Linked DNA regions of Ovis aries. The protein of the gene in region 6 interacts with the protein of the main gene of each other region in a pairwise test. Links are inferred from orthologs where the notes say so. Each region holds a gene or a part of one and is shown on either strand. Other genes may lie near its edges. The genes, in order: ATPAF2, PRMT1, FXR2, KHDRBS2, MVK, EWSR1 and MAPK1IP1L.

Region 1 (4,122 bases), on a different chromosome or scaffold from region 6:
TACCGTTTGATCCAGCAAGTCTGCTCTTGCGTGTGTGCTAAATTGCTTTAGTTGTGTCCAACTCTTTGTGACCCTATGGACTGCAGTCCACCAGGCTTTTCTGTCCATGGAATTCTCTAGCCAAGAATACTGGAGTGGGTTGCCATTCCCTTCTCCAAGGGCTCTTCCTGACCCACGAATCAAAGCCGGGTCTCCTGCCTTGCAGGTGTATTCTTTAACCCTGAGCCACTGGGGACGTCCTATTTATTTTTAGGTACCTCCTATGAGAAACGAAAACACATTCTCACACAAAAACCTGTATTCAAGTGTTTACAAAGGCATTCAGAACAGTCAAATGATGAAAACCACCCAAATGTTCATCAATGACTGACTGGGTAAATAAGACATGGTGTGTCCCCAAAACTGAATATTACCAGTTATGAAAAAGAATGAAGTACTGACATGCGCTAACTCTAGGACAAACCTTGTGAAAGTGAAAGTGAAGGTGCTCAGTCGTGTCCGACTCTTTGCAACCCCGTAGACTGTAGCCTACCAGGCTCCTCCGTCCATGGGATTTTCCAGGCAAGAGTACTGGAGTGGGTTGCCATTTCCTTCTCCAGAGGATCTTCCGGACCCAGAGATCGAACCAGGGTCTCCTGCATTGTAGGCAGATGCTTTACCGTCTGAGCCACCAGGGAAGCCAGGACGAACCTTGGATATACGCTAAATGGAGAAAAAGACCACATTCCATTTATATGAAATGTCCAAAATAGGGAAATCTATAGATACAGATCTCTGGTGGCTCACAGGTTAAAGCATCTGCCTGCAATGCGGGAGACCCCGGTTCAATCCCTGGGTCAGGAAGACCCCCTGGAGAAGGAAATGGCAACCCACTCCAGTACTCTTGCCTGGAGAATCCCATGGAGGGAGGAGCCTGGTAGGCGACCGTCCACAGGGTCGCAAAGAGTCGGACACGGCTGAGCGACTTGACTTCATAGAGAGTGAAGTAGTGGTTGTCTAGGGCTGGAGGGATGGGGTGGGGCAGGGGGATACTCAGAGTGGCAGCTAATGGGTACAGGGATCCTTTGGTGTCATAAGAAGGTTCCAGAACTGATGGCAGCAGAACTCTGAGTATACTGTGCTTAGTCGCTCAGTATGTCCGACTCTGCAACCCCATGGACTGTAACCCGCCAGGCTCCTCTGTCCACAGGGATTCTCCAGGCAAGAATACTGGAGTGGGTAGCCATGCCCTTCCTCCAGGGGATCTTCCCAACCCAGGGATTGAACCCAGGTCTCCCGCAACAAGGGTGGATTCTTTACCATCTGAGCCATTAGGGACCATTAAACTGTACAATCTAAGTGAGTGAATTCTAAATGCATCATCTCAGTAAGGCTGTTTTAAAATTCTTCAGGGCAAGTGTATCTACCACAGCAATTACTATAAACGGGCCAGATGACTAAACACTTTTCCCCAAAACCGCTCTAGCATCCACAGCACTGCTGGCAAACTTTTTCTGTAAAAAGCCAAAGTGTTTTAAGCTTTGCAGGCCATCCAGTGTCTGGCACAACCAGCCAACTCTGCACTGTAGTGAAAACAGCCTTAGGTGTGTGTCAGTGAATGAGCGGGCCTGGGTTCCTGGAAAACTATTTACAAAAACAGGTGGCAGGCTGGCCTCCCTATCTACAGCATCTCCCTCAATCCAGCACAAGCTGTCTCTTTAGAGGAGGCAGACAATGAGACGCTAAACCACTTGTGCAGACAAGACAACTTGTAAGCAGAGACCCCCAGCTTTGACTTCACCGGTGTACTCCTCAGCTGGACAGGCAGGCTCTCTGAAGACCTTTCTTCTCTATGCAGCTGATGGCTGGGACAGCTGGTAGGGGACTGGAGGCCACACGGGCGACCTCGGAACAGCTCCAACACCGCAGTGACCTTCTCCTCACCCCCACCTTCAGCACAGTACTAACTGGCAGGAAAGAAAGCGTTACTGTCTTCACTCACTTAAAGTCAGTCCCACTCTTATCCCAAAATCTTTGCCTAGGAGTAAGAAAGATCCGCTACAGAAAGCCTCATCCGAGTCGGAAGTGCAGGAAGGGGGCACGGGGTGTCAACTCCTTAGAAGAGGTGGCAGGTGTTCTGGGAGGGCAGCAGGAGGCAGGGCCAGGACAGCTGTGGAGCAAGCGGCCGGGATGGAAGACTTAAAGCCCGAGCTTCAGGCCCCTTCAGTGCCGGTCGCGGGGACACAGAAAGCAGCCTAGCAGACTGGCCTTTGCCCCGCAAACCTCTGAGTCTGCTTCGCGCCTCTAGCGCAATCCCGACCCAGAAGTCGAATTTCCCCGCCTGAAAATAAGGATGACCTCTGCTTCCCCAGTGAAAGAGAGAAAAACCGCACCTGCCAAAAGGAAACGACGCGCGTGTGCCCTGGAGCGATCCCTGCCCTCGCGGGGAACTTCCCTCCCACCGTGTGACCCTGCATGGCCGACCCCTCAGCCTGCTCCGCCCTGGCCTCTCTCACCTGCCGGGGGCACGTAGGCCCGGAAGGGGATAGGGGGCTTTCGCCCCAGCCCCTCGGAGGCGGTGAGGCCACTTCGGGGCCGGTTCAGGAGGCGACGCCCCCCATCCCGCAGCCGAAGGCAGCTCCTCCACATCGCGCGGGGGCCTCAGAGAACGACCGCTCGAAACCAGAGCTCGGGGAAAAGGAGCGGAGGGACCACACGCCGTGTGCTCGAACTCCACAAACCTCCTCACCAGTCGCCGGCACCCTCTCCCTTTTGGGGCGCCGCCATGTTGCGCACGACACTCGTAGCGCGCCGCCGCCGCGCGCCTCAGCGCACGCCGCAGCCAATCAGCATCACAAACGCCCCGGCCCCGCCCCCGCGCCGCGCCTCGGGAAAAAGACTACAAGTACCAGAGGGCCTCGGCTCCCGCCACGTGCTTTCCCCGCCCGCCAATGGGCGGAATCGCCGAGCCAGCCTGATCCCGCCCCTCAGCGCGCCCGAGCCAATCGGAAGGGGTGTGTGTGCGAGCGCAGGCGGGGAGGGGGTTCGCTCAGGACCCGGAGGCCCTGCTCGCAGGTCCCGGGGTCCCGGTGGTGGCCGGAGCGCTCGATCTGCTTGCGGCCGGCGGGTGGACCCCTCCCGCCCTACGCGCGCGCCGGCTTCTCCTCCGTCTGCCCTCGGCTTCCGCGCGGCGGCGGCGGTTCCTCCCCCTCCCCCAGCCCTGGCTCCGGGGGACCCCGCGATGCCGGTCCGCACCGAGTGTCCCCCGCCGGCCGGTGCCTCGGCCGCCTCCGCCGCCTCGCTCATCCCGCCGCCGCCTATCAACACGCAGCAGCCCGGCGTGGCCACCAGCCTGCTCTACAGCGGCTCCAAGTTCCGCGGCCACCAGAAGAGCAAGGGGAACTCGTACGACGTGGAGGTAGTGCTGCAGGTGAGCCGGCGGCCCGGCCTCTCGAGACGTCCACGGACCGGGCCACGCCGCCGCCCCCTGGGGCCCGCGGCCACGGACGGGCCTGCTGCCCGGGCCTGCCGGGGGCCCTCCGGCGCACCCCAACCCTGCGGGCCCGAGCCGGGGACCGGCCGCCTCAGATCCGGCCCTGCCTCCCCGTGGCCTGTCGCCCCGGCAACAGTCTTTCTTTCAGTCCCTCTCGGACCCCGTCCGGGAAACTCTCCAGGGATTCCCTCTGACTCTGGACGCTCCCAGGCCCTAGACGTGCCTGCTGCCTCCCACGTTTTCCTCGGTCCCATGAACCCCAGGCCCTGGGACCCGCCTCCTTCTCCGGGGGTTTCCTCCCCGGCAGAGCTTCATCCGCCTCCTCTCTCCATCAGCCCCGGGACCTGAGGGCCCCCATCCCACCTGGACTGCTGGCCCATTCCTTAGCCTGGGCACTCACATCCTAAGTGGGCTCCTCACAGTCTGTTAGAAGCTGATCTCCTAGCCCCCAACCCATAGTCTCTTCCTGGCTCAGACTCTTGACACTCCCTACTCCCCACCCTCTTTCCACTTCCAGTCCACTCCTGTTCTGTCCATCTGTCTGCCCAGACCTCCCCATCTCTCTGTTCTCCTCCTTCCTGGCTCTAGGGGACCCTCTTACTGTATTTTTAACTTTGATCCACATGTCAGGGCTTCCTTTGTAGTCTCTG
Region 2 (3,950 bases), on a different chromosome or scaffold from region 6:
CAGCAATACAATGGAATACTCCTCAGCAATAAAAAGGGCTGGACAATCGTTATATGAGACATGAACGAATCTTGAAAACATTATGCTGAGAAAAACAAGACAGGCACAAAAGAGCACATACTTTTATTGGAAAATTTAGCAGCTGAAAAGATACACTATAGTAACGAAACAGTGATTGCTTCTGGGGTTGGGTGGGAGGGCGGTGTTGAAAGGGTCGTGAAGGAACTTTCTAGGGTGATGGGATACATTCCCCAAGTAGCAGTTACCTTCATTCAACAAGTAACTTTTTCTACAGGTCGAGGGAAGCTACCTGGAGGAGGTGGCGACTGAGTTATGCCGGGACTGACTCATGAAGGCCAGACGAAGGGGGTGGGTGTTCCAGCATGGGTAGGACTTGGCAAAGGCCAAGTGCTTGAGTGGGGTCACTGGGTTTTAAAAACTTGTAACAATTAAGTAGAGGGCTAAAGATTAAACACCTCGACGCCTGAGTCCCATTTCTGACTTGATTCAGGATCACGGATAAGACCTCTTTGAGCCTCTCACTGCTTCAGTTTTCCATCAGGAAAATGGGCACAAGCTCCCTTATTTCCCGTTGGATTCCCTACAAGCTGGGAGAAGCCACAGAGTGAACGGTGAGTGACAGTTTGTTTGAGCCAATCTCTGGAGCCTAAAGCCTGCTTTCCTTTTTCGTGGGCCAATCGTCACGTTCTCCTTGAGGCCAGCAGCTTGGCGGAGGCAGGCCGAAAGCCTCATGACGTCACATTGCTAATAAACCAATAGCAGCTATTAAGAGGCGGGTACTTTTGGTGATAGTTCTATTTCAAGATGTCCGCTTAGCGCAGGGTCCGCCGGGAAGCTTTGAGGCGGTACGGGAGAAGGGGCGGGAACTCCCAGTAGATTCTGCCCAATCGTCAGTCGCGCTTCTTGCGATAGACGGGCAGTCTTTCCCATCCCCGTCGACTTAAGGGGGCGGGGTTCGGCACGCCAGAGTAGGCGGGCACCTCAGCTTTGATGGGTGTCTCCTTCGCCCAATGGCTAAATGGTATTTCCAGACGGGTCACCTCCTCTACCAATGAGATCTCCTGGCGGGGTCGCGGTGGGCGGGCCGTAGACCCTCCGGTATAAGGCGGTCCCGGGGGAGTGCGGAGAAAGGGGGGGGGTCTCGGCGGCCGGAGGAGGAGTAGACGCGGGTGAAGATGGCGGCAGCCGAAGCCGCGAACTGCATCATGGAGGTGAGCGCCAGGAGCGCCACCGGGGGCGGGGGGCGGTTTGGAAGTCGGTGTTTTACGCCTCCGCCGTGGGGAAGGGGCTCTGAGTCGCCGGATTGGGGTTGAAGGCCCCTGGCCGTACGGAGGGGGGCGCCGCGTGCTCCGTATCCGAGGATACCGTTTGAACTGCGGGTTCCCTAGCTTTCGGGGGCCTGAGGCGCCACGCCGAGCCGAGGGCCTACTGCCCCCTCCCACGTGGAGGAGGGCTGGGGGCGCTTCCGGCCTGGCCCCCACGTGGCCGTGGCACGGTGGGTGGGGAGGGGGTGTGCCGTGCCCGCTTGCCCGGCGGGTTCCACGTGCGGGACAAAGGCCCCGCCCCCGGCCAGGGGAGGGGCGCCCCGGGGGGGGGCGGAGAGGAGGCTCCGACCCTCCCTCCGAGGCCCCCTACCCTCCTCCCCGGGGATCGTGACGGGCACCTCGGGGTGGGGACCTCCGTGCAGTAATGAGGCTCTTGGGAGGGGCAGTGTGCCTCGACCCTTAACAAACCCTTTCCTGGGACCAGGGCATCTGCTTAGGCATCGGTCCAGGTTTCGTGCGCTCTTGCGTTGGGATTGGAGGAAGACGAAGAATTGGTTCCCTCTGGGACCCCTCCTACCCTCCAGTTTCCTGTCTCTGGATTCTCCCCCTCTTTGGGAGCTGGGGGGATGGGGCATGCCCCTGTGACCTCCCTCTGGTCTATGGGGGGGCATCGAGCGGAAGATCTTTCCCGATTAGGCGCTGTGCACCCCCTTGTGGCCATTTCTGGGTGTGTGGGAGGGACATCTTTTTCATGGGGCGTGTCTCCAAGCCCCCCTCCCTGTCGAAGCCCTCCCGGGCGAGGGGAGAGAGAATCTGTCCTGGGAAGGGCTGTGAGGTAGTGGAGGCAGCGGATTTACCTCCTTCTGGCCCTTCCTCTCCCTGGGGTATTTGTGAAGATGGGAGTTGACCACCTCCTCCCTGAACCCGTGTTTGAGGGTCCTGAACCTGCTTGCGTGAAATGGTGTCCCGTGAGGTGTGATTCTCTTGCAGTTATGTGGGGCTTGCCATGATGCTGTGTCTCAAGCGCTCTGGGGGCATGTCTGGCGGTGATGTCGGTGGTGTAGAGAAATGGGCCCTCAGGGGAAGTCCCCTCACCCGCCGTCTTTCCGTATCCGCGTCATTCACTGGTTTGGGGAGGATGGAGGTGGGGCTTGGAGCCCAGGGGTTATGTCTGTGATTTCACGCTTCTTGGCGCCTGGAGAGTGCTTGCATCTGGAAGAGCTGTAATCTGTTGGGCCCTCCGTACTCTCACCTCTTAGCTTGTAGCAGTCTCAGGAATGGGAGGTGAGGTTCCAAGATGCATACCTTGGGGGGCAGCCCCAGGGGTCACTCCAGTGACTCCCCCTTGGCTCTCTGCTAGACGAAGGCCTTCTTGGCTGGAGGAAATATCTTCCTCAGAGGTGGATCCAGGACTCGGCCCCTCCCCTGGGGAGTTTCTGGGCCTGAGATGGTGGTTCGAACGGGGAGTAGATGGGCTTGGGGGTCCAGGGTCTGGCCTCCTCCGTGGAACTCTGCCCTCCTGCGCAGAGGGTCATAATCAGGAGATTGGCACTCCCTTGTTTTGTTTGGGACTCCCTGAGTCCCAGGCAGGAGCTAGCAGCCCGCATGCCAGCTCTGGTGGGGGGTGCCCGTGTGCCACACCTCCTTTCTGGAATCCTCTCAGATGAGAGAGTGCTTTGCAGAGGTGACAGATGCCCAGTGGGTACACCCTGCCAGTTCCCTTCCCCCAGCTCGAATGGTACCCCAGGATGAGGCTTTGTGTCAGGAAGTGTCATCTAATCTGGGGAGATTAGATGGTGAGGGGGAGTGACAGCTGGCAGTGCCCTTGTGCCCGGCGGGTGCCAGTTCCTCTGGCCTGGATGGGGGAGGCGTGTGTGCTCAGGTGCCTGGCCCAACAGGGGCAGTGTGGGGGCAGGCCACCATCTCTCCAGCCACAGCTGGGATAGAACCCCCTCCCTGCTCCCCCACATCTCCCCCACCCCTGTTGAAAACAGCCTTGCCTCTTTACTTGTTCCTTCTCCCACCACTGCTCACAAAGGAAAAGCAAAATTGTAGGAAACACCTCCTTCTTGCCCAAGAGCCCGGGTCGCCTGGCCTGGCCCTCCCCTAGCCGCTCCTGGTAGCTAATCCTTTCTCCCTGTTACTCTCTCCTAGAATTTTGTAGCCACCTTGGCTAATGGGATGAGCCTCCAGCCGCCTCTTGAAGAAGTAAATATCCTTTTGTGAGACCCCTTCCCACATACACATTTCCTCACACGTCACGCCCTTTTTAGTGGTCTAACTGATCCCTCTGGCTTCAAACCACTTTACCCTTGGCCCCCGAAACACTTAGTCCAGACTCCGTCCAGGTTTGGGCCCCCACCTGGCCTCTCCCAATACTGTGGCTACTTCCTTAACTCCATTTACAGCCCCCCACCCCACCTTTGTCCTTCCCTGTGTCTGCCCCGCTTCCGCCTTCCTCTCCCCTCCCTTCCCCAGCTGTGGGCTGAGCTAGAGACGGGGGCAGACAGACTGGAGAGATGGTAGGCCTGGCTGAGGTATCGGGGGTGCCCTCCTGGATGGTGCTCTGGGGGTGGGGGGTTCCTGGGCGAGGCAAGACGGCAGGTGGGGGCTGTAGGGTTGCCATGGTACGGTTTGGGGAGTGGTTCTGTATACTCCATGGGG
Region 3 (3,500 bases), on a different chromosome or scaffold from region 6:
GGGCCTGTCGGCATGCTTCAGGAGTCTAAGAGAAGAATGGGGAGTTATTAATAAAACAGAGGACCTGGATCTCAAACAGTGATCTTCCTGCCACTCTCTGTCTTTGGGAAAATGTGCTGCCACCACAGTCTGGGAGGGAGGAAGCAACTATACACCAGTTAAAGGAAAAAAAAGGTATGCACATTATTTAAAAAAAGGGGAGAGAGGTGAACACGACAGGCTTCCTTTCTATTTCACACACTCTTCTGTATCCCCGAAGGGACCTAGACAACAGATATCTTTTGCTGACCTCCCCATAGATGCGGAAAGTGCAGGTCTCTTCACCCAATTCAATGGCAGTCACCCCAGGTACTTTTCGGGCCTGCTGGATGTTGGCACCATGAGTCCCAATTGCTAGTCCCATCAGGTCCTCTCGCACTGTGAACTCCTCTTGGAAAGCTGCCGCCAGCTGCTTGCTTGTCTGAAAGAAAAAAAGACACTGACTTATAGGAATCATGGTGAAATCTCAGACACCTGTCCCGGGAATCTGACACTTTGCATAACTTCAATAAGAAAAGACTGTGAAAGAAAGCCAGAACTATCTGGAAGTCCACTGACCACCAGGACCTGTGTGGAGAATTTAGGAATGCTTCATTCCATTCCTACCTTCTCAGTACCAATGGCTTGGTGGGCAGGGGAGGTAATGATAGCAGGGTTTGGGCTAGGAGCCATCAAAGTTCTGGATTTGGCTCTAACACCATCTGGTTGTATAATCCCAAACAAAACATACTCTCTGTGCCTCTGCTGTTTCCCACTAAACGATTACCCCTGACCTGCCCCATTCCCAGACTAACAGGATTAAATAAGACTGGTGTTTAGAAAGGACTTTTCACATGGTAGATGCAAGTGTAAGGAATATTTACCTTATCCAAACCAATACAAACTCCCAAAATAAAACCCAAAAAGTTGAGGAGAAAGCAAGAGGTTAAGAAAAGCATAAAAAGAGGCTATGACACACCATGTTACCACTTCATTTCTCAACCAGCCCTCAGAGGGAGGCCTGAGTACAAAGGGAGGCAAAGGGAAAGGCTCTGGCAGCACCCTGAGGAGCATCCCTGGAGAAATACAGATTACCATTTGCACAGGCTCCCATAAAGATCAGTTCACTTGATTAAAAGGAAATGGATGTTCAAATAACACATACACGTGTGCACCTCACTTAGGACAGTATAATTCCTAAGAGAATCTGACCATCATAAGATGTCAGGATTCAAAAAGACCTTGTATAAACACTCTCTTTCAACTTCCTCATTGTCACAGATAGGAAGAGAAAACTCACTGGAATCAAATTATTTGCCAAAGGTCAATTATTTGACAAAGCAAGACAGGATTGATTCCAAGACTAGGGATCTTTTCCAGTGTACAAATGGCTCTCACAAAGTGGTTTGGTTCTCAGAGGTAATTTGGGGGCACCCAGTGGAGGTAAGACCCACACCTTCTTCTACTTTTAGACAGACTTGTTCTGATTCATCTGTCTTATGCATTGTGCTTTCAAGTAAAATTTCACTTGGTCACATGGTCCCGTAGCTTTAAAAAAAAAAGCTTCACACAAAAAACATGATGGAGCTCTGCCATCCAGAGATGAAATAGCAGACCCAGGTTTAATGGCCCAGAAAGATCTTAACCTCTGTTCTGTAAACATAAGAGTATGAGTGGAGGATGAGGTGGGAGGGAAGACAACAAGACCATTCAGCAGTAAAAAGTGGAGCCCAAACTTACCTCGAGGTGCTTGGTAGCTTCTTCATTGCGTGACATGAGCAGCAGTTTGGTGCGCAGGCTTCGAAAATGCATATCACCCAGCAGGGATGCTCGCTTCACAGGGGCTTCCGTGGTTGACTGGAAAGAAACCAACAGAAAAGTCACTAAAAACTGCCTATGTTTTAGAGGAGAGTCAGGAACTGGGAAATCAGGACACCTGAGTCTCTGGAAAAGGGCAGGAGTTTAAGAAACAAAGTTGAGGAAGAGAAAATCACTGTTGGTCTCACAAGGGCCTACTATCTGGATGCCTATGGGAACTGATCTTACGTGGCAAGCACAAGTGAGATTCATACTGTTTCTGACAGTCCAAATATGCAAGAAGGGTCCTTGACCCATACTGCAATATGATGGTCAGGTTGAAAAAAAATTAAGGCATACATGAGAAAGACTAAGGAATAGTAGGGCTAACCTGGGTCCACAGGATTCAGGAGGAATAAAGTCCTTTCTGACAAATAAATATAAGCACACTTTAGCTCTTCCCTTCTTGCAAAAGAGTTAAAAGGGGAGAAGGGCTTAGGTGAAGTTCAGGCAAAATAAACTCACCAGGATGAAGAGCTCACTATTTGTGATGTTGAGAAAGATGCAGTTCGCTCCCAATGCTTTCTTAAACTCTTTATGGACGTTTTCATTGGAACAGCTGCAGAGAAAAGAGAACAGTGCTCAGAGGGCAGAGTGTAGAGTATAGCTGAACATTCACGGGAGAGAGAGGGACTGAGAAAAACAAGGACTTCAGTTAAAGAACAGAGATGAGGAAACAGAACTGGGAGCAGAGAAGACTCTAGAGGGTCAAGGGAACACAAAACACACTGGGAGCAGGGCCTGGGACAAACACGTGCAGAGATGAGGACCATAAAGGGGGTCCCCCACACCCAATATCCCAAACACTCACGCCTCTCTCAGATCCTCAGGCACAGCCATGGTAACCTTGAAGAAGCTGCCTTTGGTTGCAAGGGGATTGGGATTAACGGGCCGAAGCCGTTCCAGGGTGACAATCTCATTGTAAGTGGCATCGCAGGCAGCATATTCAATAACATAGAACTGGCAGAAGGAAAGAAAGAAGGTGTGGATAACATGAGCTTCTGTCTCCCACCATCCTCTGACAAAAATGTTTCAGCAGTTCCCCCAAAGACCTTGACAATCAGTCACACTCACATCTCCCTTCATCATCCGCACCCGGGCCAGCCACCAGCCACAAGGCTCTTGCTCATTGGCTCGAGAATAAACCTGAAGAGAAGTTGAAAATAAAAGAGATCTTGAGGCCCATCTAAAAACATCAAGAATAGAATGAGCATTAAGACACTTAAGAGGCATCCTAGACCAAGATAAAGGAAACTAGAGGAAGGAGCTGCTAGTTAACATCAGAGGACACTGGAGTTCAGATGCTGTTATCGTAAATGGAAGCAAAGTGGATCCCCTGAAACTAGGAAGCTCCCTAAAGGCTTGATTCATCACAATGGTGATGGACACTTCACTCCTCCACAGACTGCCTAGCTGGATGGAGGAAGGAGAGTGCAACAAGCAGTAAGGAGCCTATGATACCTGTATCAGGGTAAGGGAGATGCAGAATCCTGGGAAAAGTGATGTTTAGAAAAGGTGGACTTCAGGCCCTTACCTCCACTTCATCCCCTTCTGTGATCTCCTTGTTATAGTCAGCTGGAGGTGGTAGCCGGACATCCCCAAAAGGAATCTGTCTTTCACTCTGC
Region 4 (3,951 bases), on a different chromosome or scaffold from region 6:
CCAATACAATATTGTAATTAACCTCCAATTAAAGTAAATAAATTTATATTCAAAAAAGTTTCAGCATGCTCTATTTATAGGGAAGTGAGCCCTCCTTCTTCCACGAACAAAAATGGTGGGGGAGAGACGAATTAGAAAATGACTTTATGAAAAGAGATGGTGGAAAAGTTTATTTTAAAATATCCAAAGTACTTAAACTGCATTTTGAAATGCATTTGTAAGAGAAGCATGGGCAGTGTTGGTGATACCCGGGGGGTTTAACTCTGCTTTATCAGAAGAGGAACAGCAATTGCACTTGGAGAAACAGACTGCATATCCTAAATGACGGAGATACGGGGAGGGCGGAGCAACTGTCGTTGCCTGATTCCTAGCCTGTTCCTTCTTCCACATGTTTTTCTAATTCCTTCACAAACTGATTACGTGGCTTTAGTTGTAAAATTCAGCCCCCTCCCAGAAGGCCCCTATAGATAGGGACTGGGGAAGGAGGAACGGACGGAAGAAAACCAGTCAGTCCCGCTGTGACTGTCCAGTGGAGGCGCGTTGCTGTGCGGCGATACCGCCGCGGAGCCGCTTTATTTGTTCATCAATGAGCATCTACTGCATCCCCTAGATACAGGTCAAGCCCACTGGAAATCGCAGCCACCCATCACAAGCAGTCTTCACTGTATTTCCAGAGCGGGAGCGCCGCCGATCTCTACGCACCGAGTGCGTGTGCCGGTAGGAGAGGGAACAGCTGAGCCTCAGGACGCGGGTGGAGTCAGCTCTGCGCTCCTGAGGCGCTCCCGGCGCTCTCCAGTCCTCGCTGCGCGCCTCCTCGCCCCATCTCCCCGCCGTCTCGGACTCCGGCTGCTCGGTTACGGTGCCCTTCCCGCTCTTCTAGACTCGCGCCTCCGCAGAAGACAGACGGCTCCTTGCACCTGGGCGCCACAGCTGAGCTTGCCTAACGGCCGGAGGGTGCCGGCTGGGAGGAGAAAGCGCGCGCACCTTCCTTGCTCTCCTCCCGGCGGCTCCGCCTCCCGCCAGTTCGGCGCATCGACGTCCGATGCGGCCCAATGGCGACTCTCAGCCGCTGCGGGCCCCGCCCCTCAAGGCACACCCACCAATGAGCGCTTGGCAGGGGCAGAACGCGTCCTGTGCCCGCCTCCCCGTCCAGGCCGCCGGAGCAAGCCGACCTGGGCGGAACCGAGGTACGGCCGCTCGACCGGCCCGGAGGCTCGGCACCACTTCAGCCCGCGGCCGGGCGGGCGGCGACGGCCCAGAGAGGGCGCCAGACACCGGCCGTAGCTGAGGCGGGCGGGCGGCGGGAGAGCAGGACGGCGGGGACGTGCGTCCAGCGCACGGAGCCCTGAGCCTGGCGGGGCCCGTACGAAGTCCGCGCTATGGAAGAGAAGTACTTGCCTGAGCTGATGGCAGAGAGAGACAGCCTGGACCCGTCCTTCGTGCACGCCTCGCGCCTGCTGGCCGAAGGTAGGACTTGCCCCCGGGTGGGCGCAGACCGCCGGCCCCTGTCGCCGCGGCGGGGCTCGGGGAGCGGAGTACGGGAGGACGCCTGTCTCCTTCGCGGAAACTGCCCTGGACGATGCTCGCCCAGAGCCGCGGCGGAGCTGGTCCTTGGGAGGCGGGTGCTACTTTCTCACTCCATTCGCGGCTGAATCCGGGTAGCCCGGAGCGGCGGGCGCTGGCTGTGAAGACAGTGCCCTTTAGGATCACTGATGGAGCGACGTTAAGGAGCTGCGTGGTCCACCGGGATGTTTTAACTCCGCCAAGGGAAGGGAAGTCAGTCTGGAGTGAATGGTGATCAACGTGGTGTTTGATGAGCTTCTTCTTATCTACAAATCAGTCCCCCCCCCCTTTCCCTTTTTCTTTCCCTTTTCCCCCTTTCTTTTCTCTTATTTTCTCTCCCTTCTGATTGAGAAGTGATTTTGATTTTCTTAGTCTAATTACAGTCTTTCCTATGGAAAGACTTAGTATTAACCTAGATTAAATTATGCGTGTTCTGTTTGTGCATGTGGAAGTGGCTGAAATGCATATCAGTTTATTTGAAGTGTGATGATTGTGTGCTCTGGGAGATGCTGGTCCCTGGGAACCCTCCACAATTGATCAACTGTTGTACCAAGTGTGCAGTGTATGTGTGTGTGTGCAGTGTGTGTGTGTGTGTGTGTGTGTGTGTGTGTGTACTTTAATGTTGAAAGAGATTTAATTCCCAGGGGAATATAAATATCTTTTCTTTTGTGTTCTTTTGAAGGGTTGTTTAAACACACACACACAGGAACTTCTGTATGATAGAAATATCTGTAGCAATCTACATTTACCTTTATAAAAACTAAAGACTTTCGTTTTTTTTTTTTGTGGGGGGGTGAATGTCTCAATAATGAGTTGCTTCATCATCAAATTGACTACAATGCAGTTTTGTTCCTTAGGTTCTTAGGAACTTACCTACAGCAAAACTAAAAGTAATAACTTTCTTCCCCTTAGCCCTTCAGCATCAAAAGAAATGTTTTCTTTTGTGAGATTTAGTTTTACATGGAAGGAGAAATTCTAATCCTCCATGTATGAATTAAATAGGCATTATACTTATTTAAATGTTTTATTGATGGATTGTTATTTGCAACAATAAAGTATCAGATATTTTTCTATTTTGTATATTAAGTAATTAAGTAATTAAAAACAACAATTGAAATATTGAACATGTGAAACAAGTAAACTACTTTTCAGGGGACAAGTTGATTTTGTAGAGGATTTGGAATGGAAAATGCAGTCATGCTTGCTACTTCTTGGTTACTAAATAAAAAAATGCAACCTAAAATTGTAAATGAAAGTTAAAAAATTAACCTCTAATCTAATCTATTAAAAATAAATAAACTACATAAAATAATAGGAACATTGAAAATTAATGGATTAACAAATATTCAAAATGATTAAAAATGTCATTGTGTTCCTAAATCATCTATTTCAATGCATTTTCCAGAAATGTCTTCATTTAGCTGATAAAGTCTTTAAAATAGAAAAAGTTACAAATTAATCATTTTCTCAGACCTGCTAATTGGACTTCTTTTGGGGACAGTAGGCTAGATGATTAATTCATAAGTTATTAATGAGAGTTAGTGTACTGAAAACTGCCAGACTAAAGCAATGCATGTGAGGAGCTCTAAACAGAGTATAGAAGTATTTCTCTGTGGTAAAACAGCCAGAAAAGTCTGTGAACCTGGTTCCTTAAAATTTTCTTAACATTTTATTTTTCTCAGAAATTTGGTTTCTTGATACTTAGGAACATGTTCCTATGTACTTTGTAATTTAATATTTTCCCAGTAGGGGGAAGCATGTTCTGCCTTTGTAATGAATTAGAAGTAAAAAGTGCCTAAATAGAAAAATGTCTAAGGAAGAAACAAAGATAGGTGTCCACATTTCAGAGGAATCATAAGGAGGAGGAGGAGGAGGGGAGTAATGATAATAATCTTGAGTATATAAAGAGACTCTTTGCAGCTGGCTGAAAGATCCACAAGATCTAAATTCTGTAATTGTACCCAAGCCTCTTCATGTTCTCATTGAACAGTGTCCTTCTGAATAAACCTTAACATACATTTTACATTACAGATCTTTCGTTGTTTTTTCAAAGGCCATCTACCTAGATTCTTAGGTCTTATTTCGAATCTCTATAGGAGAGTGTTGTTGAGATAATTTTATTTTTCACCCCTGGAAATGTACTGATTGAAGGCAGTGGCTATAAATACACCTGACATAGATGTTCGTTAGGAAAGAAGGTGTTCCATGAAGTACATTTCAGCCAGCACTGTGCAGAATGTCTCAAGACTGAGTGTGTAATAAAAATGATCCAGATGATTCAGTTCTTTGAAATGGTTTTTTGGAAGGTAATATATACAAGGTCAGTGATGTAAGCCACTGAGCATTCATAATGATTTGTTTTGCTGTTTTGATTGGTGGTAGATGCAA
Region 5 (3,988 bases), about 4.8 Mb from region 6:
AAGAGGCATTTTCAAATAGCAACACCTTTAATACAGACTTCAACATTAAAATGTGACATTAAAAGGTTATTAGAGGTTGAATTACTGGATCTATAAAACATATTGCTGCTGCTGCTAAGTCGCTTCAGTCGTGTCCAATTCTGTGCGACCCCATAAGACGGCAGCCTACCAGGCTCCCCCGTCCCTGGGATTCTCCAGGCAAGAACACTGGAGTGGGTTGCCATTTCCTTCTCCAATGCATGAAAGTGAAAAGTGAAAGGGAAGTCACTCAGTAGTGTCCGACTCTTCCCGACCCCATGGACTGCACCCTTCCAGGCTCCTCCACCCATGGGATTTTCCAGGCAAGAGTACTGGAGTGAGTCAGGTTTGAGGTCCAGGATGGGGTGCTAGTTTCAAGGTATGTGATGAGAGCCATCTTTACAACGCGCTGGTGTCTCTCTGTGTCTTGACTGCTTTGCAGACAGGTTAAGATCCGAACTGAGGACCCCTACTGATTGTGAGGTCAAGCAAGATGACCCTCTTGGTTCACGTGGGCTATGCCCGGTCCTGACGGATGCTGGGTTTCGTTTGGACTTGTCTCGTGCTAAGAAATCTTGGTCTCTGGTTTCCCCGGAGCCCAAGTTGCCATGGTGACGTCAGGATTAAAGAGGAGGTCACCTGGCGATTGCTGCGGTGACCTCCCATCGGTGTGATGTAAACACGGCGACGACAACACAACTCAGGTCAGGTGTCTGAGTTAACTTCTCAGCCAGGTACTCACCTGTCCCCGTCTTCCACGCCCTGGGGGCCACGGCTCTGGAAACGGGGACACAATAGCTTGCGGGCTCCAAGGCACTCGCGCAAGCCAAGGCGACCTCCCAGGCCCCACACAGCCATGCCCCAGGCCGCTCGTCGAGGGCTGACCCCGCCAGCTTGCCGTCCAGGTTTCGAGGCGACTCCACCTACCGCCGGCCGCGCCACCGCTCAGCCTCATCTTCTATTGGTCCGTGGCTCTCTCCCCAGGGCGGGACACTCCCAGGGACTTGCTTCCCATTGGTCCAGGGAAGGATTTGGGCGGGGAAATCCGTGAGGACTTGGTGAACGGCAGCTATTGGCCAATGCTCAAGCCAATTGGTAAAGGGAACTCTCGGCTCGTACGCTCTGATTGGCTTGGCGGAAGGAAGAAGCCGCCTCACCTCGGGTACCCGCGAGCTCTGGTATGGAGTCTTGGAGCGGCCCAGCTTCGGGAGCAAGCACCTGAGGCGACAGGTGAGAGGTTGGGGTTGCGAGGCGAGGTGGCGCGAAGGCCGAGGCCGAGACCCAGAACGACCCCGGACTGGGCTCCCGGCCTCTCAGGCTGTTTCCTCAGCTCTGAAAATCCGTCCTCAGGAGCCGGCGACCTGGAAACTGACAGGATTTTGAATCGCGGACAAGCAGTAGGTCTCCTCACTTGGAGTCTGAGTTTCCCTCCCTGAGGAACTGGGGTCATGGTAGCACTTAGCTCATAGTTCGGTTCAGCTCTCACGCTACTGAAGTAAAGCCTTAAATAGATAGTTTTTTTCTTTTCTGTTTTTTAAGTCGCTCAGTCGTGTCCGACCCTTTGCGACCCCATGGACTGTAGCCTGCCAGGCTCCTCTATCCATGGGATTCTCCAGGGAAGAACACTGGAGTGGGTAGCCAGTCCCTTCTCTGGGGGATCTTCCTGACCCAGGGATCGAACCCGGGTCTCTTGCATTCAGGCGGATTCCTTACCGTCTGAGCCATCAGGGTAGCTTTGCATTATTCATAAAAATCTAAAATGTGCACACGCACACCCAGCAAGTCACTTTCTAGGACTCTGTCTTGCAGAGATCCTGACTTAAGTGTGCAAAAAAAAAAAGGGGGGTGGGGAGGTGTAACAGCTGTTTATCTGCAACTTGTTTCTAATTGTGAAACGTTAGAAACAGCCTGAAAATGCCCAGGAAAAAAATTTCTTTCCAGTCCATAATTTCATTTAAATTTCTACCTTTAATAGTAGTACTAATAAAAGCTGGAACCAAAAACAGAGTCAGTAATACCGAGCTATCAGTAACTGACTGTGGTGTGCCAGACACTGCTAAGTGTTTTGCTTGCGTTATTTAGTTTAACTTTCTCAGAAACCATTAAAGTAAATAGTTACTGTCCCTGTGTAACTTTTAAGGTTCGTGGCTATTTGATGGCTGTGTGGCTAGCTAAGATGACATCACTGGGGAGCAGTGGGTTCGAACCCAGATTTTTTGGAGAATTATTATTATTATTGCTTGGAGAATCCCAGGGACGGGGGAGCCTGGTGGCCTGCCGTCTATGGGGTCGCACAGAGTCGGACACGACTGAAGCGACTTAGCAGCAGCAGCAGGCTGACTGCTGCCCCGCACTGCTTTTGGGGCACACAGCAAGTGCTGAATGGTAGCTGCCTTTTTTGTAATAATGGGGTGCTTTAATTAGGGGTTCTCTGAGGTCTGGGGACCTTCCATCCTCTCTCTCTCTTTCCTTTTCAGGACTCCCAGGAGCCATGTTGTCAGAAGTCCTGCTGGTATCTGCTCCAGGGAAAGTCATTCTGCATGGAGAGCATGCTGTGGTCCACGGCAAGGTACAAGGCCCCCTGAACCTTTGAGGGTTGGGAACTGCTGCTCCTGGACACTAATCTTTTCTCTTTCTTAAATTTAGTTTTGGCTGCTCTGGGTCTTCGTTGCTGCGTGAGGGCTTTCTCTAGTTGAGGCAAGTGCAGGCTTCTCCTTGCTGTGGCTTCTCTTGTTGTGGAGCACAGGCTGTAGGCAAGTTGGCTTCAGTAGTTGTGGTTCGTGGGCTTAATAGCTGCAGCTGTCAGGGTCCTGGAGCACAGGCTTTGTTGCTCCACAGCATGTGAGATCTTCCTGGAACAGAGATCAAACCTGTGTCTCCTGCATTGGCAGACAGATTCTTAACCGCTGGACCACCAGGGAAGTCCCCTGATGCTAATATATTAAAAAAATTTTTTTTTAATTTATTTGACTGTGCTGGGTCGCAGTTGCGGCATGTGGGATCTAGTTTCCTGACCAGGAACCAAACCCAGACCCCCCTGCATTGGGAGCGTGGAGTCTTAGCCACTGGACCAGCAGGGAAGTCCGCTGATGCAGTCTTAGAAGAAGCTGAAAGAAAGGCTTGAGGCATAGCCTGGGAGATCAGAGAGGAGGTCAGTTTCTTCCCAGCTGGGCAAAGAAAAGGCAGGTGTTAGGCTCGCTGAAGGACTTCTCTGGCCCACCCAGTAAGATAGCAAGAAAATGACACAGAAAGCCATGTGGGCGTAATGAAGTCACTTAGGAAGTAAGCTTCAGTGGAGAAGAGATGAAGTTTAAGGGCTAAACTCTTGGGGAAAATGAATAGGATCCTGCAAAGGAGTCTGAGACATGCATATTTCGTTTAACTCTTAAAACTGTCCTCATAGTTAAACTTTTATTATCCTATTTTACAGTTGTGGAAGCTGAGGCTTAGGAGGGCGTTGGCAACTTGTTCAAGGTCCCGCACACCTCGGTAGAGCTAGGAGTGACCCTGTCTGCTTGAACCTAAAGCCATGCTTTTTCTGCTCCTCCCTGCTGTCATTTTTCACATTCTTATATTAATCTTTGAAAACACGGTGATTAGGGAAGCCATCCCTTGGTGTTGAGAAATTCTGAGTTTTACGTGGGAAGGGAAAAGATATGTAGGTATTAACTCCTAATTGATTGGTAGCGGTTGTGCCTGTGAAGAAGGTGCCAAAGTTGATGAGAATCGTCTGCCAAGGGCACAGTTCAGAGTGGCCCATGTGCTAGTACCTAAGTCAGAAGCCATGCATGTTGCCAACGCCCCCCAGGCTAACTGCTGGTATCGTGCCCTTTGTTCTCTAGGTAGCACTAGCAGTGGCCTTGAACTTGAGAACATTCCTCCGGCTTCAGCCCCACAGCAATGGGAAAGTGGGCCTCAACTTACCAAACATTGGCATCAGGAGGGCCTGGGATGTGGCCAGCCTTCAGCT
Region 6 (3,500 bases):
ATCCAATTTATACTTATACCAACATTCTGCATAACTTTTTTTCACTAGTTTATACAGGGACAGAACACACACAGAACTAAGCCTTCTGGATTATGTTAACCAACATTTCACCTCACCTTCATCAAAGTAGAGACACCAGAAAGGGAAAAGGGTGCGGGAGGAGGGAGGGGAAGGGCGGGGTAGCAGGTTCACGTTACTCTAGACAAAGTTTTCTAAACCAGGTCGTTCCATCCATCAAAATGGTCAAACCGATTTAGACTTCTCAAAATCTCCACTGGGGAGAGTGATTCCACAATTATATACATTACTCTGCACAAAGCTACTAGACTTCTCTGTACACCAGGTGCACCTCAGGCCATAGTTCAAGGGTTATGGGACCAAGATCTTCATCATTATGTTCAACAGTTCCAAGTATAAACAGAAGTTGGGGACAAACATTGTGGAAAACAGCTGCATTCCTTTTCTGCAGTATATACACCACGTATTTCAAGACAATCATTCAGAAGCAATTAGTCAAACACCTAAGGTTGTTAGAAGGGTTGTGTGTGTTCCATCCCAAATCTATTACCCAGGAGGCTTTTGACCTCTGGAAACCAGGAAGGGGACTGAAAGCTCTAGTTTCAAAACCATTCTTTGTTCTCCCCAACCCAACCAAGTCAACTGGCATTGAAAAAAGCAAACTGCCTCTATAGATATGCCACAGAGATGACATTTCCATGTTTGCAAGATGGCTTGGGCTCATCAGACTATCCATGGAAATGCAGAAATAAATTTCCTATGTCTTTCAGTCCCTTCTTTCCACTGAAAATCCTATGGATGAAACAAAATTAGGTAAAAGGAGAAAAGGTTTGCTCTTACCCCATTCCACCGCGTCCTCCTCCCCGCCCACCTCTGCTCATGCCTCCACGATCAAATCCCCCTCTTCCCCTGCCCCGGTTATCAGGGCCACTCATGCTCCGGTTCTCTCCTGGTCCGGAAAATCCTCCAGACTCCTGCCCATAAACACCCATGCTACTGGGGTGGTCCTGTCGGAATGAACCTGAGGAAAGAGTCACATCTGTAAGCCATGGATCAGCATTTACACCACTGCTGTTGTACTTTCTCCTGGAATCATAGAATTCTCAAGTGCAAGGCACTAACCGAGGTATCATCTTCTTTACATCTGATTAAGTCCCCCATCAGTAAGCTTTTCATAAAGTTCAACAAAAAAGGCTGAAGTAATCTCATATAGTTTGCCTAGGAAAAAACCACTCTCAAACAAAAACAGGACTCTGACCAACAGTTCACAGGGTTCTGTATCCCAAGATGCCTTAAAAAACTGGTCTTTAAACCATACTCAAACAAAAATGGAGTCAGGTTTCTTGGGGTTGCTAAGGGGTCGTCTCCATCAAGAAGCACGACTCATTGTCATAATGAGACATACTCATGGGTGCATTTTAAAGACAACAATCCAGGCAGACTAAATTGTGAAGACAACTTTTTGAATTTTTGGTTACTTTTCCACATAAATTAACTGTAAGCATTCCACAAAAATTTTTGTCTTATGAATGTACACAAAAAAATCAAAATACAGTATCTTTTAAACTATCAAAACTTCGAGAGTCTTCAATAGCTACCTGCTCACGCTCTCTTAATGAGCTGGGGTGGGCAGGCCATATGAAAAGCTGGCTTCACTCACTGCATATAACCTCCCCAGAGAGCAGGGCTGGCAGTCTGAAACTTTTTCTCTGGTCAGTTACAAACTCTCTTTTCTCCTAAGGCATGCTAACAACAATTAAACTGGAGAAAAGCCAGGATTATTAGCCAGGATATGATACCCTCAAGATGCATCCTGGAGTTCAAAAGCACACAGTGGTAGAGTGTTTCCCCGTTTCAGAAACTCCAAACACAACCATTCTTATTTGGTTTTCTCTCTTAGCAACTCACTCTGCTGCCCGTAGCTGCTGCTCTGTTGACTATATTGACTTGGAGCCTGGCTGTAGGATCCAGTCTGGGGGGGGTAACTAGTGGGTGGCTGCTGCCCATAGCTGCTTTGCTGGCCATAGCTACTCTGCTGCCCGTAGCTGCTCGGCTGCCCGTAGGTGTTCTGCTGGGAGTAACTGCTCTGATCGTAACTAGTCGGCTGCGTAGAGGAGTAGCTGAGAAAAAACAAAACAAAACAGTTTGTTAGGAGAGACTTGTTATTTTAGGTCCCCTAAATGTAGGAGACGTTCCCAGCATGTGCCATAGAAACTCTTAAAACTCCAGTTACTTTTTACATATTAACACACTGAACTTAAAATGAGCAAGTATTTTTGTATTTAAGTTCTGAATAGGAGAGGGTATTATACCACACACACACACAAAACAAACCCATCTATAAAATGTACAACCTTAATTAAGAGTCTCCCCCTTTACCACCCCCACCTTTACTGAAACAGGGCTTCCCAGGTGGCATGGCAGTGGAGGGTTGGGAGGCTCCACCTGCCAATGCAGGAGACACAGGTTCAATCCCTGGGTCAGGAGGGCCCCCTGCAGAAGAGACGGCAAGCCGCTCTCGCACTCTTGCCTGGGAAATCCTACGGACAGAGGAGCCTGGCAGGGCCATGGTGTCGCAAAGAGTGGGCCATGACTGAGCACACACACGCAAGCACACGTGCTCATCAGAACAATAGTTATTCTCAACCAAACTCAAGGCACGTTTGGGAGCCTAGGTGCTTCCTGTATTAAGGGAAGACTGTGCTCCCAGGGAGGCTGACCCAGGAAACGGCACCGAGAAAAGTGAGGCAGCCCGGTATGGTGCTCAGTCCCCAGGCTGCCTGCCCACATCATGCCCTGGAGTGACGGCTCGTTTTCTGAAGGTACCAGGCCACCTGATGTGTGTCTGGGTGGCCACTTTTTTCCTGAGCCTAAGTTTCAAGTTGCTTTGGTGTGTACATAGCTCCTGACTTCCAGACATGCCTGATCGTCTATGAATCTGGGCATTAATAAGGAAAAGATGGACAAGGAAACATCAGACTCAAGGTACTGTATGAAAAATGAATATCAGACTGATATTCACCTTCACATATGTCAACTAAAGGGAAGGGAAACTAACCAAAGATACTCTTACACAGAAATAAAGCTTGAAATATTAAACTTTAGATGAACCATGACAGTGAAAAACAACACAACGCATAATACAATTTTAATTCTAACTACAATGATTTTAAGTATCTGCACCTCCCTTACCACAGCTGTAAAACGTTATTTGCGCAAACGTGTCCAGCTCTCTGCAACCCCATGGACTGTAGCCCACCAGGCTTCTCTGTCCATGGGATTCTCCAGGCAAGAATACTGAAGTAGGCTGCCATGCCCTTCTTCAGGGGGATCTTCCAGACCCAGAGATCAAACCCGGGTCTCCTGCATTGCAGGCATATTCTTCACTGTTTGAGCCACCAGAGAAGCCCCTGGGAAGCTGTAAGGACTCAAAAGCCTCTCTTCACACCAAGCGCACCTATTCCACTTGCCAGATTCAGTGC
Region 7 (3,926 bases), on a different chromosome or scaffold from region 6:
TTGTTTAGTATGGGGAAAGAATACTGGAAATATATTGTACTGAAAATATAAATTTTGAATGAGCATTTTTATGTGATAGTTTCTAGTATTGTCATTTATTAGCTAACACTCTGTTTTACATTTGGACAACTTAAGAAATTGGGATCTGCATGTTTTTGAACATTTTAAATTACTTAAAAATATGTAATTAAAAAAATAACTTTTCAACAAGGTCCTGTTAGTCCTATTTTCTACACTCATATTTATTGGAACCTAAGTGCTTGGTACTGCATTGGGCCTTGGGGAAATGAATAGTCTTAGGTGGAATAAACACTTAATGGCAGTTCAGTCTGGTGGAGAACTACCATTTAAACAGTAGGCTACCTGCGGTAAGTGCAGGGCACTATGGGAGCACCCTGAAGAGCTCCTAAAGGTATCAAGGAAAGGATTATCAAGGGAGGAATCCTGAGGAGTCCTGTCTTTGCAGTGTGGGAGAACAAAAAGACCTGGGGTAGGCCCTAGGGAAAGGAGCAGTTTGTGCAAAAGCTGGGGCAGGGACATATAAGCAGATCAGATTGGCTGCAATGTAGAAAGGGGAGGAATATGAAAGCTTCAACCAGAGAGTCTCTAGACCAAAGTTTGACCATCTCAGAGATAGCTCACCTCAATGAACCTGTTACTTCAACTATAATAATGGGTCCTTAAGGTCAGGGCTAAATGGGTCAGGACTAAATGGGACTGGTAAATCAAGTGCCTATAGTAAAAGTGCCTAGAGAACATAAATAAACATATCATCTTCTCTTCCTCGGTGTACGGGCTACTGCATATGGCTACAAGCCTGGGGAGGGGGGTCGGAGGGAAGTTCAAGAAGGAGGGGACATATGTATATACCTATGGCTAGTACAGGCTGATGTATGGCAAAATCCAACACAATACTGTAAAGCAATTATCCTTCAACTAAAAAAGCATTAGAAAAATAAAGGCGTGCACACCACAAGTATTTAAAACTAGGTAATGCTGCAGTTCACTGGTGGGCTCTGGACAAGCCAAGCTGTGCCAACCCCAGAGGTGAAAGCTGACAGTAGTATCCACCTCACAGATTTGCCGTGAGACTTACACAATAAATCTCCTGGTCACCGTCTGGCACGTAGCAAAAACTCAACAGGTGTCAGTTTCTACAAATTGCTATGATAGGTTTGTAAATTTTTACCTGCAGTTCTCAATTTAGAAACTTCTAGAAATGAAAGAAGTGTTCCCGTTTGACATAAAACTTACTTGGTGGACTTCCCTGGTGGCTCAGACGGTAAAGCGTCTGTTTACAATGTGGGAGACCTGGGTTCGATCCCTGGGTCGGGAAAATCCCCTGGAGAAGGAAATGGCAACTCACTCCAGCCTGAAAATCCCATGGACAGAGGAGCCTGGCAGGCTACAGTCCATGGGGTCGCAAAGAGTCGGACACGACTGAGCGACTTCACTTTTCATCGCTGCACAAATATTAATGCTGGATTGGGGACGCTGCCCCGACTCCGCTGGTGTGATCTCTCGTCTTTGTACCTTATCGTCTTTCTAAAACCTAAAGATAAAATTTTAGGATTTCTGAATTCCAAAACACACTGGTCCCAAGGATTTCAGTTAAGGGGCTGTCTCTGGGTCTCCATTCCTCGTGGAGAGAGAAAAAGGGACATTCCAGTACACATAACTCAAGTTTCTGAAACAAACTAGCTTTGAATAGAAAGTTCAGAGACACTCGTATTGAGAAAAATGTCTATTCCTCCTGCCCGAAGACCACTATTCCCGAACAAAGAGCTTCTGAAAGATTTCTGAAGGGTAACTTCGTCTTTAATGGAGGGTTCGTTTTCAAAACAAACTCACAGCCATGAAGCGTACGAGCGTGTATTTCTTTAGTAGCAACCCTATAAAAATGTTTTTCGTCTTCTGTCAGATGAGTATGCTTCCATGCTTCAACATTACTATCCCCATTTATTAAAAGCGCTACTCTTGGTTTTCAGAAGAAAACGGTCCAAAGCCACCAGGCGCTCCTAAATCCTAAAATAAGGGAGCACTACAGAACTCAACACTTCTCAGTTTGTCATGGATATTCATCTGAGTATCTGCTAGGAACTCCTCTAGAAAATGATGACAAAAAAAAAAAAAGATGAGCAAAACCTCATATTGCGAATAATCTTAAACTAGCGCCAAAGACTCCTACAAGAATCTTTCAGCCTTCCTCTCCCTTTCCTTAGCAATTAATGAGTAGGGGAGGGAGTCGGGGCCAAGGGGCGCTAGGCGGGTAGCCCTTCAGAGCCCAGCGAACAAAAGGAGTCCGGGATTAACCGGAGCGAACCGGCCTCCGAGCGGGTCGCGCCCGCCCGGGAAAGGGTGGGGGAGGGGCCAGGCCCGCTCCCCGCCCCGCCCCCCGAGCCAGGCCTGACGTCACCCGCCGAGAAATCCATCGCTACGACGTCACCCGCCCCCGACGCCCTCTCCTTGGGGGCCTAGCGGGCTGATTGCCCACAGCGGAGAGGAAAACCACGGGGAGAGACTCTTAGCCCCCGGCCCCCGCGAAGAGGCGTCTGAGGCACCTCCGTTACTGTCCCCGCGTCCCGCTTGGGCGGGCTCCCTCGCTCTCCTCCATGACCCCCCTAGCGCCGAGGCAGCCTCACCCGGCAAGATTCGAACTCGCAGCAAGATCTAGAAGTGGCGATGGGTCCGCGAGAACTGGGCGCTGAAGAACCGAGCGTAGCCCGACCGACGGCAGCGGAGACGGGGGCGGCAGCAGCACCAGCAGCGCGCGGCTCCTCCTGGCGCCGGAACAGGAAGCGCCGTGCTCGGACGCGCTGCCCCCACCCGGCTCCGCCTCCCCACTGGTCGGCGGGGCCCGGCCGCGCGCGCCCTCCTCAGGGCCCCGGTGGAACTGCGGCCAGCCAGTCCACGGCTGCTCGGCTGTTTTTCTCTCGGTGGGCGGGAGGAAAGATCCCTAGTTTCCCGGAGTTCTGAGTGTCTAAAGGAAACGCCAGTGGCGAGTTGCGCTCTGGCAGCCTGGAGGAAATTGTCTCCTGGAGAGGCTTGAAAGCAAGTTCTGGATTCCCTACACTTGCGGCATTTGAGAGTTAGGCCTCGAAGCTGGCTAGATGTGAATGCCTTCTAACCCGGGGCACAGATCCGTTGGCCAAAATTGTGGAGAGCTAAAGGAAATGGCAACCCACTCCAGTACTCTTGCTTGGAGAATCCCCTGGAGGGAGGAGCCTGGTGGGCTACAGTCCATGGGGTCGCAAAAGGTCGGACACGACTGAGTGACTTTTATATATTCTATGTAAAGCAACACTGCAGAAAAGTGAAGACGTTTGCAAATGGCTTGACAAATTGATATTAACAAAAGGAATGGATATCTTTGCAGGTTTTTTCTGATCAATATTTTTTTCTCCCCGTAGTTTAGTTTTGAATAAACCTTTACCTATCTACTCTGTGACAGACCCCAAAGGGGTCTGACCGCAGCGGTCAGGGAATGTGCTAGCTAACAATGAAGATGTCATAATTACGTGTTGTGCAAAATATACATATATAACACGTACATATGTTTTAGTGTAAAAATTAAAACGTATGCAGTATTATTAGATTTTATTTTCACTTGCTGTTAGTGGATTGGAGGGTGGACGTTTTACTATTAGCTTCTTAAACGAAGACTTATGTGGGTTTATTCCACAGCACACGTAATTCCCATACTGAAAAATGAGCGATAGAGAAACTTCGAACACCTAAGCCTGGGGAAAGTGAGAGAGGAGAGTGAAAAATTTGTCCTAAAGCTCAACGTTCAGAAAACTAAGATCATGGCATCTGGTCCCATCAATTCATGGCAAATAGATGGGGAAACAGTGGCAGACGTTCGTTTTTTTCTTTTTGGCTCCAAAATCACTGTAGATGGTGACTGCAGCCCTGAGATTAAAAGA

The links.
Region 1: the proteins of EWSR1 (region 6) and ATPAF2 interact in binary tests that used the Homo sapiens proteins (3 or more experiments, as listed by UniProt). The two-hybrid records come from large-scale screens. The link is inferred for Ovis aries from reciprocal best matches to the Homo sapiens genes EWSR1 and ATPAF2.
Region 2: the proteins of EWSR1 (region 6) and PRMT1 interact in a two-hybrid assay, tested with the Homo sapiens proteins (2 studies listed by BioGRID and IntAct). The link is inferred for Ovis aries from reciprocal best matches to the Homo sapiens genes EWSR1 and PRMT1.
Region 3: the proteins of EWSR1 (region 6) and FXR2 interact in a two-hybrid assay, tested with the Homo sapiens proteins (2 studies listed by BioGRID and IntAct). The link is inferred for Ovis aries from reciprocal best matches to the Homo sapiens genes EWSR1 and FXR2.
Region 4: the proteins of EWSR1 (region 6) and KHDRBS2 interact in a two-hybrid assay, tested with the Homo sapiens proteins (2 studies listed by BioGRID and IntAct). The two-hybrid records come from large-scale screens. The link is inferred for Ovis aries from reciprocal best matches to the Homo sapiens genes EWSR1 and KHDRBS2.
Region 5: the proteins of EWSR1 (region 6) and MVK interact in a two-hybrid assay, tested with the Homo sapiens proteins (2 studies listed by BioGRID and IntAct). The two-hybrid records come from large-scale screens. The link is inferred for Ovis aries from reciprocal best matches to the Homo sapiens genes EWSR1 and MVK.
Region 7: the proteins of EWSR1 (region 6) and MAPK1IP1L interact in binary tests that used the Homo sapiens proteins (3 or more experiments, as listed by UniProt). The link is inferred for Ovis aries from reciprocal best matches to the Homo sapiens genes EWSR1 and MAPK1IP1L.

What each region holds. Positions count from the first base shown.
Region 1 is NC_056064.1:34,270,625-34,274,746, reverse strand, and holds the start of ATPAF2 (ATP synthase mitochondrial F1 complex assembly factor 2), read right to left. Parts: upstream 2,801-4,122; 5' UTR 2,629-2,800; coding exon 2,496-2,628; intron 1-2,495. Other genes in the region: GID4 (glucose-induced degradation protein 4 homolog), read left to right, coding at 3,221-3,409. UniProt on the Homo sapiens protein: Plays a role in the assembly of the F1 component of the mitochondrial ATP synthase (ATPase).
Region 2 is NC_056067.1:55,810,324-55,814,273, forward strand, and holds the start of PRMT1 (protein arginine N-methyltransferase 1), read left to right. Parts: upstream 1-1,150; 5' UTR 1,151-1,196; coding exon 1,197-1,232; exon of another isoform or gene 1,233-2,244; coding exon of another isoform or gene 2,245-2,259; intron 2,260-2,439; exon of another isoform or gene 2,440-2,570; intron 2,571-3,438; exon of another isoform or gene 3,439-3,440; coding exon 3,441-3,494; exon of another isoform or gene 3,495-3,498; intron 3,499-3,692; exon of another isoform or gene 3,693-3,805; coding exon of another isoform or gene 3,806-3,808; intron 3,809-3,950. UniProt on the Homo sapiens protein: Arginine methyltransferase that methylates (mono and asymmetric dimethylation) the guanidino nitrogens of arginyl residues present in proteins such as ESR1, histone H2, H3 and H4, FMR1, ILF3, HNRNPA1, HNRNPD, NFATC2IP, SUPT5H, TAF15, EWS, HABP4, SERBP1, RBM15, FOXO1, CHTOP, MAP3K5/ASK1, MICU1 and NPRL2.
Region 3 is NC_056064.1:27,145,352-27,148,851, forward strand, and holds part of FXR2 (RNA-binding protein FXR2), read right to left. Parts: coding exon 3,410-3,500; intron 3,022-3,409; coding exon 2,950-3,021; intron 2,836-2,949; coding exon 2,687-2,835; intron 2,435-2,686; coding exon 2,341-2,434; intron 1,876-2,340; coding exon 1,759-1,875; intron 461-1,758; coding exon 290-460; intron 26-289; coding exon 1-25. UniProt on the Homo sapiens protein: mRNA-binding protein that acts as a regulator of mRNAs translation and/or stability, and which is required for adult hippocampal neurogenesis. Specifically binds to AU-rich elements (AREs) in the 3'-UTR of target mRNAs.
Region 4 is NC_056073.1:1,048,985-1,052,935, reverse strand, and holds the start of KHDRBS2 (KH domain-containing, RNA-binding, signal transduction-associated protein 2), read left to right. Parts: upstream 1-1,151; 5' UTR 1,152-1,379; coding exon 1,380-1,467; intron 1,468-3,951. UniProt on the Homo sapiens protein: RNA-binding protein that plays a role in the regulation of alternative splicing and influences mRNA splice site selection and exon inclusion. Binds both poly(A) and poly(U) homopolymers. Phosphorylation by PTK6 inhibits its RNA-binding ability.
Region 5 is NC_056070.1:63,768,443-63,772,430, reverse strand, and holds the start of MVK (mevalonate kinase), read left to right. Parts: upstream 1-1,188; 5' UTR 1,189-1,248; intron 1,249-2,495; 5' UTR 2,496-2,509; coding exon 2,510-2,587; intron 2,588-3,860; coding exon 3,861-3,988. Other genes in the region: corrinoid adenosyltransferase MMAB, read right to left, coding at 761-876. UniProt on the Homo sapiens protein: Catalyzes the phosphorylation of mevalonate to mevalonate 5-phosphate, a key step in isoprenoid and cholesterol biosynthesis.
Region 6 is NC_056070.1:68,577,602-68,581,101, reverse strand, and holds part of EWSR1 (RNA-binding protein EWS), read right to left. Parts: intron 2,139-3,500; coding exon 1,927-2,138; intron 1,040-1,926; coding exon 859-1,039; intron 1-858. UniProt on the Homo sapiens protein: Binds to ssRNA containing the consensus sequence 5'-AGGUAA-3'. Might normally function as a transcriptional repressor. EWS-fusion-proteins (EFPS) may play a role in the tumorigenic process.
Region 7 is NC_056060.1:65,599,202-65,603,127, reverse strand, and holds the start of MAPK1IP1L (MAPK-interacting and spindle-stabilizing protein-like), read right to left. Parts: upstream 2,801-3,926; 5' UTR 2,643-2,800; intron 1,343-2,642; 5' UTR 1,255-1,342; intron 1-1,254.